2 linked regions of the Caenorhabditis elegans genome follow. The protein of the gene in region 2 purifies or fractionates together with the protein of the main gene of each other region. This does not show direct contact. Each region holds a gene or a part of one and is shown on either strand. Other genes may lie near its edges.

Evidence for each region.
Region 1: the proteins of pas-7 (region 2) and cyp-13A8 fractionate together in Caenorhabditis elegans (co-fractionation; one large-scale study listed by BioGRID). This does not show direct contact.

Annotation. Positions count from the first base shown.
Region 1 is NC_003280.10:9,804,749-9,809,910, reverse strand, and holds cyp-13A8 (Putative cytochrome P450 CYP13A8), read left to right. Parts: upstream 1-2,341; 5' UTR 2,342-2,378; coding exon 2,379-2,734; intron 2,735-2,800; coding exon 2,801-2,947; intron 2,948-2,997; coding exon 2,998-3,097; intron 3,098-3,164; coding exon 3,165-3,461; intron 3,462-3,510; coding exon 3,511-3,767; intron 3,768-3,814; coding exon 3,815-3,958; intron 3,959-4,055; coding exon 4,056-4,284; 3' UTR 4,285-4,311; downstream 4,312-5,162. Other genes in the region: cyp-13A7 (Putative cytochrome P450 CYP13A7), read right to left, coding at 4,464-4,701, 4,747-4,890, 4,961-5,162. UniProt on the Caenorhabditis elegans protein: Cytochromes P450 are a group of heme-thiolate monooxygenases. They oxidize a variety of structurally unrelated compounds, including steroids, fatty acids, and xenobiotics.
Region 2 is NC_003280.10:10,097,578-10,101,625, forward strand, and holds pas-7 (Proteasome subunit alpha type-3), read right to left. Parts: upstream 2,278-4,048; 5' UTR 2,277-2,277; coding exon 2,207-2,276; intron 2,158-2,206; coding exon 2,045-2,157; intron 2,000-2,044; coding exon 1,430-1,999; 3' UTR 1,205-1,429; downstream 1-1,204. Other genes in the region: lact-2 (Beta-lactamase domain-containing protein 2), read left to right, coding at 177-839, 888-1,112; puf-12 (Pumilio domain-containing protein 12), read left to right, coding at 2,752-2,871, 2,922-3,224, 3,272-3,776, 3,829-4,048.

The sequences.
Region 1 (5,162 bases), 290 kb from region 2:
TAAACTGAGAATTATTGAGAATATGGAGTTTCAATTGTGCACTGGTTTTCAAATTTTTTTAAACTGAGAATTATTGAGAATATGGAGTTTCAATTGTGCACTGGTTTTCAAATTTTTTTAAACTGAGAATCATGGAAATAATGGAGTTTCAATTGTGCACTGGTTTTCAAATTTTTTAAACTGAGAATTATTGAGAATATGGAGTTTCAATTGTGCACTGGTTTTCAAATTTTTTTTAAACTGAGAATTATTGAGAATATGGAGTTTCAATTGTGCACTGGTTTTCAAATTTTTTTTAAACTGAGAATTATTGAGAATATGGAGTTTCAATTGTGCACTGGTTTTCAAATTTTTTCAAACTGAGAATCATGGAAATAATGGAGTTTCAATTGTGCACTGGTTTTCAAATTTTTTTTAAACTGAGAATTATTGAGAATATGGAGTTTCAATTGTGCACTGGTTTTCAAATTGTTTTAAACTGAGAATCATGGAAATAATGGAGTTTCAATTGTGCACTGGTTTTCAAATTGTTTTAAACTGAGAATTATTGAGAATATGGAGTTTCAATTGTGCACTGGTTTTCAAATTATTTTAAACTGACAATCATGGAAATAATGGAGTTTCAATTGTGCACTGGTTTTCAAATTTTTTAAACTGAGAATTATTGAGAATATGGAGTTTCAATTGTGCACTGGTTTTCAAATTATTTTAAACTGACAATCATGGAAATAATGGAGTTTCAATTGTGCACTGGTTTTCAAATTTTTTTTAAACTGAGAATTATTGAGAATATGGAGTTTCAATTGTGCACTGGTTTTCAAATTTTTTTAAACTGAGAATTATTGAGAATATGGAGTTTCAATTGTGCACTGGTTTTCAAATTTTTTTAAACTGAGAATCATGGAAATAATGGAGTTTCAATTGTGCACTGGTTTTCAAATTTTTTAAACTGAGAATTATTGAGAATATGGAGTTTCAATTGTGCACTGGTTTTCAAATTTTTTTTAAACTGAGAATTATTGAGAATATGGAGTTTCAATTGTGCACTGGTTTTCAAATTTTTTTTAAACTGAGAATTATTGAGAATATGGAGTTTCAATTGTGCACTGGTTTTCAAATTTTTTCAAACTGAGAATCATGGAAATAATGGAGTTTCAATTGTGCACTGGTTTTCAAATTGTTTTAAACTGAGAATCATGGAAATAATGGAGTTTCAATTGTGCACTGGTTTTCAAATTGTTTTAAACTGAGAATCATGGAAATAATGGAGTTTCAATTGTGCACTGGTTTTCAAATTGTTTTAAACTGAGAATCATGGAAATAATGGAGTTTCAATTGTGCACTGGTTTTCAAATTGTTTTAAACTGAGAATCATGGAAATAATGGAGTTTCAATTGTGCACTGGTTTTCAAATTTTTTAAACTGAGAATTATTGAGAATATGGAGTTTCAATTGTGCACTGGTTTTCAAATTTTTTTTAAACTGAGAATTATTGAGAATATGGAGTTTCAATTGTGCACTGGTTTTCAAATTTTTTTTAAACTGAGAATCATGGAAATAATGGAGTTTCAATTGTGCACTGGTTTTCAAATTTTTTTTAAACTGAGAATTATTGAGAATATGGAGTTTCAATTGTGCACAGGTTTTCAAATTATTTTAAACTGACAATCATGGAAATAATGGAGTTTCAATTGTGCACTGGTTTTCAAATTTTTTTAAACTGAGAATCATGGAAATAATGGAGTTTCAATTGTGCACTGGTTTTCAAATTTTTTTTAAACTGAGAATTATTGAGAATATGGAGTTTCAATTGTGCACAGGTTTTCAAATTTTTTTAAACTGAGAATCATGGAAATAATGGAGTTTCAATTGTGCACTGGTTTTCAATTTTTTTTAAACTGAGAATTATTGAGAATATGGAGTTTGAATTGTGCACTGGTTTTCAAATTTTTTTAAACTGAGAATTATGGAGATTAGACAATTTTTGAAACGTGAATGGAAAATACCGCTACAGTAACCAAACTTTAATTTAGAAACTTTATTTACTGTAGGCCAATAATAACACTCTAGTTATCTGTCCACCTATTTTGAACTTGATCATGCTCAAATCACACGCGACAAATCATATTTTTCTATCACAATAATCAGTTGTTTCGAAACTTTCTTATCGTCAAAACTTTGCATCACTCATGGCTTGATAGTATGTGTTTGTGGAGAGAGGGAAAAGTTAAAAAGGGATAGTAGTTATACATTTTCTGTGTCAAAAATTTGGTTTGTGACTGTTCGGGCAGATATAAAAATGAAAGAAAATTATGGTGGATATCTCATTTTTTGAGAATTGGAAGCTTTATAAATTCAGCATTTTCAACGTCTGAAAAATGATTTTCGAGCTCATCCTAATTTCAATTGTTACCTACTATTTCTGGCATTGGACTTTCTGGAAGCGACGTGGATTGCCAGGCCCTTGGGGAGTTCCGATTTTCGGAAAAGCTGGAGCTATGCTGGAGGATAGTTTCCCACCGGGTTACACTCTTCAAAAATGGACAAAGGAATATGGAAAAATTTATGGATTCACTGAAGGAATGCAGAAAGTCATGGTGATTTCAGATCCTGATTTGGTTCAGGAAATCCTTGTGAAACAGTACGATAATTTTTATGGAAGAAAGCATAATCCAGTTCAAGGAGATCCAGATAAGGATAAGGATATTCATATTGTTGGAGCTCAAGGTTTTAGGTAAGGAGACCACTTCAGACGTGCTGGCTTGCCTGCCACTCGCATATTTTAATTGATAACTTTCAGATGGAAACGTCTCCGAACAATCACGGCACCTGCATTTTCAAATGGCAGTATCAAAAAAGTATTGACTACAATGGAAGATAGCACACAGGAGCTTATGAAAAAATTAAGAGAAGAATCAGAGAATGGAAAAGCAGTCAATATGCATCTGTAAGTTGTTCATAGCGGTCTAATTAAGGTGTTTTACTGTTAAATTTTAGTTTCTACCAGGAGTACACCTTTGACGTGATCTCCAGAGTTGCCATGGGACAACCCGACTCCCAAATGTTTAAAAATCCATTATTAAAGGATGTTAAAGGGGTAGGTTCATCTCCTTTGTTGGATTGATTTTTAATTTTAAAAGTTTAACAAAAATGTATTTTTACAGTTCTTCGAGCACAACCGCTGGCAGATCTGGATGTTCAGTGGAGGATTTCCATTTGCTGTGTCTTTTCTCAAATGGTTGTTCATTAAAGTAGGCAAGTTCGGAGCTGGTCCCTTTATTGTCGTGCAAAAATCGGTAACGGACGCAGTGATGTCCCGGATTGCTCAACGAGAAGCCGATAAGAAACATGGAGTTGAGCCAGGAGAGGCCGCTGATTATATTGATATGTTTTTGAATGCAAGAGCCGAAGTTGAACATTTTGGTGAAAGCAATGACGAATTCCATAAATCATCCTCCTATGTAAGCTTGAAATTAACATAGTGATTTTTATAAATTCCTTCAATTTCAGAATAACCGACAACTGACCACTCAAGAAATCATTAGCCAGTGCTTTGTATTTTTAGTTGCTGGATTTGATACTACAGCCATTTCCCTTTCCTATGTTACATACTTCTTGGCATTGAATCCAAAAATTCAGAGCAAGTTACAAGACGAAGTAGACAAAGAATGTCCAAATGATGAGATCACATTTGATCAGCTTTCAAAATTGAAATATATGGATAATGTGATCAAGGAGTCATTAAGATTGTTCCCATTTGCTTCTTTGTGAGTTTCCAATGTTTACTTACAAATTAAATATATTTTACTTTCAGTGCAAACTCCCGCCGATGCATGAGAAATACGGTTATCGGAGAGCAAATTGTAGAAGCTGGTGTTGATGTGATGATCGACACCTGGACTCTTCACCATGACAAAAATGTATGGGGAAATGACGTAGAAGAGTTCAAGCCTGAAAGGTAAGATATTTTCGATGCGTACTTTAAGAAAGATTTTTCAAGAGCGTAGTGACGTCTATCAAGATTCTATGAAAAAGTAATTTAAAAATATTTTTAGATGGGACTCTCCATTAACTCCTCAACAAGCATACCTCTCATTTGGTGCTGGACCCAGAGTATGTCTCGGAATGCGGTTTGCACTTTTGGAGCAGAAAGGATTATTGTCACATATACTCAAAAAATATACTTTCGAGACAAATGCGAAGACACAGCTTCCGATTAAATTAGTAGGCCGAGCAACTGCAAGGCCTGAAAACTTGTTCTTGTCATTGAAGCCGAGAGTTTGATTATAATATACCTTTCCTAATCCCTCCATGTTGTTTTAACTTTCTTCAACTTAATACAAATAGCTTTAAATTTAATTTTTTAAGTAACTGACATAGAAGTTTGTGCTTTTAAATACGTGAACATACAAATTTATTGGGTAAATATATAAACAAAGACAACAATCCGTACAAAACACATTTCAAAACCTGGATTTAAGTTTGAGCAGCACACTTGATGGCGCAATAGTAGCAGTTCCGACTAACTTCAATGGAATCACAGTTTCTGGTGTGGTTTCAAATGTATAGTTTTTCAAAATATTGGTCAAAAGCATTTTCATTTCCATCATAGCCAATCGCATACCAATACAAATTCTTGGTCCCATGCCGAACGGAAGATATCCGCCTTTAGCAAAGAATAGTTCATCCCCGGACTCCCATCTGTAGAACATTTGATGAAATAAATAATTGTCAAATAAAACCAACCTTTCCGGCTTGAACTCGTTAACATCATCTCCCCAAACTTTCGGATCATGGTGAAGAGACCAGGTATCCACATTAATATTTGTTCCAGCTTCTATTTCCATTCCCAGAACATTTGTGGTTTTGAGACATTTTCGATTGTGAACACTGAATTATTTTTTAATTACAGAGAACAAACTACACCACGGCAAAACTTAGAAATTAAAAAAAAACTAACAGAGACGCCAATGGATACAATCTCAATGCTTCTTTCACAACACATTCCAAATATTTCAATTTCGACAGCTGATCAAAAGTGACTTCAGGGTCTGGACATTCTCTATCCACTTCTTCTTGTAATTTCTTCTGAATCTCTGGATGTGTTGCCAGGAGATATGAAGAATATGACAGAGAAAGGGCAGTCGTGTCGTATCCAGCTA
Region 2 (4,048 bases):
CTACATTTTCAATATGAAACGAAAAAATTTGTTAAATTTGGAGCCTGTAGCGGTTACTGTAACTGAGATCGTGGCGAGACCCAATGGGAAAAAGGCGGCGCCAGAAAATCGCAATGCAATAATAAATTATAAAAATTCGCATGCTGAATCACATTCAAGTAAATTCTTAATTCCAGGCAGGTCTTGCTGCACTCGATATGCCAATAACCATCGAAGACGCCAACGATTTCGAGAAAATGAGTGAAGTCATCGCATCACAAAAACCAAACTGGGAACCTGGAACTAAATCTGGATATCATGCAATTACTTACGGATGGATCGTTGATCAAATCGTTCGACGCTCCGATCCGAAAGGTCGATCAGTTGGACGATTCTTCAAAGAAGAAGTCGCCGATGTTCACGGAATCGACTTTCATATTGGATTACCGCCAAGCGAAGAGCATACCGTATCCCGTCTTTCAATGCCGTCCACACTTCATCTCGTTCGGGAGATTGTTCATGATCCACGTGTTCTGATTGTACTTGCAGTTTTTAATCTTCGACCACCAAATTCTATTGCAAGAAAGATTGCTGCAAATCCAACGTGGTTCAAGTTGGAACAGGATGTGAACACCTTTAATAATCCAACTCTACATGCTATGGAGCAAGTCGCTGCTCTTGGTATTACAAAGTCAAGAGATTTAGCTAGACTTTTCTCACTCGTACAACAAGGAAAACTGTTCTCTACTGAACTTCTAGAAAAGTTCCGTGCCCCCCAAGTTCAGGGGATTGATGAAGTTGTCATGACTCCTCTACCAAAAGGACATGGTTTCCTATACGAGAGACATCCAATGGGAGGGGTGAGCATCGTTTTAATAAATATAATAATAAATCAATTATTTTTTCAGAAAAAGTGGCTTGTTGGACATCCTGGTTACGGTGGCAGCACAGTAATGATGGATTTGGAAGATGGGATCACGATTGCCTACGTCTCGAATGGATTGAAAACTGGAATGGGAGAGCTTACGAGAACATACAGACATCTTCGAGATTCTGTATTTGAGTGCTTGGAGAAACAGAAGACTGGTCAAAGTGTGATGATCGAGGAAGCAGTTCAAGCAGTTGCCGCATAACTTAAAAAATTGTTGTTATCCTTGTTTGTACATAGCGCCATAATTTGGGACGGGTCTACTGCCCCCAGCGAATTGTGCATAAACATGTTTCTGGTTTGTCTGAATTTGTATTGAGAAAAATGGGTAATACCGGGAAACCGAAAAATAATGAACAGAAAAAGTTAAAAAAAAACATCCGGGTGCAAAAAGTTCTTCTTGAAGTCGGTGAGTCGGTTTGAAGTACAATAAAATGACTCGCCGAGCGCAAGAAGTTTACCAGGGCAGAAAGAAGAGAGCTGATAATAAATTAAAAATGTGAATAAATACACGAGAATGATTCAATCGTCCATGTCGTCCTCGTCAAGCTTGGCAATAGCCCATTCCTCGGCAGCAGTGACAACCTCGCTTGGAACTTCTTCGTACTTTCCGTTCGTCTGCTCACCGACCCATCCCATTTCGATTTGAACGTTTTTATCCTTGTTCTCGTCACGCACCACCATAATGATTCGAGCAGCTTCCTTCACGAGTTGATTCACATCCAGCTCCTCGATCTTCAGCTTCTCAATCTCAGCTTTTGCGGCTTGGCGATGTTTTCCGACAGCCCATGCCTTGTATTCATAGTTTAGACCTGATGGCTCCACAAGGAAAAGACGTCCTCCAGTTTGTTTGTTCCATGACATGAAGAAGGCTCCTGCTCCAAACGGACGACTAATGCCGAGAGTGTGAATGTGAATGTACTCAGCAACTGAGTTAGCAATATTCTGAATCGGCATTGGCTCACGGTAGTCTTTGAGCCACTTCATTGCTTCTCCGTAAGCATAGTTCTTCAGAGCGAAACCATCTGGATAGTTTCCAGCAACTGCGACACCAACATTGTCGTTCACGTTAAACATTCTTGGATTAGCGTTCTGAAAATTATAGATAAAATCTTGAAAATCTCTTAAATTACTCACATCAGTGTAAAGTTTGGAAGAGATCAGCTTGTCAGCAACGACCACAACTCCGTTCTTGCCACGAATTGCAATCATTGTTCCTGCATTGTCGACAGCCTTTTGAGCGTACTCGACTGAAAACGAGATTATGAGTATTTTGAACAAAGCAAAATCGAAACAAACCTTGGAAAATTCTGCCATCAGGAGAAAAAGTAGAGGCGGCGAGATCGTAGCCGGTACCGATTGAACTCATTCTGCAAAATAAAAACTATGTTAACACATATATGATTGCAACTGGTACGTGTTTTATTTCTGCGGAAATCAGAAGAACCGTTAAAATTTAATATTTAATAATTCGTTTATTTGAATGCGTTAAAAATAGTAGAATTATTGCGAAAATAAAAGCTGATAATCTGAAAATGGCAGCTAAATGGAAATAAAATTTCAAATGATGATTTTCCAATGTCGATTTACGGGAGAGACGAACATTGCGGCAGGTCTCGCAACGACGAAGAAGAGAGTGTGTAAATTGAGAGACGTCAGAAGACAACATGCGCCTTTAACATTTTCTTTTCATTTTTCTTTACTTTTTCGTAACTTTTTGTTACTATTTTGAAGCTGTGCAATTTGTTTCCAAAGTAAAAATCGCTTAAACCTCACATAAAATTGTCTTGTGTTTATTACTCCTTTTAATATGCGTGTCTTTCAGAGAAATCTCGCGGGTAAAAATGGTGAAACTCGACGACAAAAATAAAAAATTCAAAGGGAAGAAGAAGGTTAAAAATGTGTTGGAGAAAAAGGCAAAAGGATTAAAACTCAACAAAGTAGACAGAAAGCGAATTGTTAAGGTTTGTTAAATTACTTCATTTTGTAAATAATTTTTTGTGAAATATTTCAGATTGAAGAAAAAGCAGCGTTAAAAAGCAAAGTAGACAAAGCTGTGAAGGACGAGTTGGAAAGGTTGAAAAAGTCATCTTCAACATCAGTTTTTGATAATGATGGGACTCGTGACTCTTTGTGCTCGGAGTCTTCGTTCGGAAGCCAGCCAGCACCGAAAAAGAAATCGAAAAAAGTGCTTTTCTCAGGAGAACTTGAACATGTTAAGGTTTTCGATAAGCGAGTTCAGGATCTTCAAATCAAACCATCAGAGGCATCTCCAGGAAGAGGAATTCTCAGATCCCCTCTTGATAAGAAGGTTAAGGTTTGTTAATTCAATATATCGTCTTTTACACAATTGTTTTTTTTCAGAAACTTGCCAAAGTGAAGACTGTCAAAGTTGCTCAGGAAGAAGAAGAAGAGCATTCCGCTCCCCCAAAGAAAAAAGTGAAGGTTAATGCAGAGAAAGCCGTTGCTTCTGAGCCAGCAGACGATGAAAATTTGGAATCTGTCGACGAACAAGCAGGTGGAGATGAATCTCATATTGACATTCCAACTCTAAAGAGAAAGAGAGTAGCTATTCAAGTCACAAAGTCTGTTAAAGAACAATTGCTGAATATGCCGAGAAAAGAAAGAAAAGCATTTTTGAAGGAGTTGAAATTGAAGAGAAAACCTGAAGGAGCTCGTGCTCAAAAATGCAAGGAACTTTGGGAAAAGATCAGAATGGGAAAGACGCCAAAAGCTGAAAAGGATACTGCGGTTCACGAGTTGTATGGTCTTGTAAAAGGACACGCTGCCAAGCTGATCTATGCTCACGACACCAGCAGAGTTATCGAATGTCTTGTTGCCACTGAAAGAGAAGGAATCATTAACAACTGTAAGTTTTTTGAAGGTTCCCATGAATAATTACGAGAACATAATTATTGCAGTGTTCAACGAATTAACCCCAGAAATAGTGAGGATGTCAAAGAACGTCTATTCCAAATTTTTCGTCAAGAAAATGTTGAAGAATGGAACTAAAGAACAACGTGATATTATCATTAATGCATTCCGCGGACATGCTCCAACCCTGCTCAGAATCAAACATGCTGCCGAAGTTCTTGAATATGCTTACAATGACTTCGCTAATGCCCATCAGCGTTACAACAT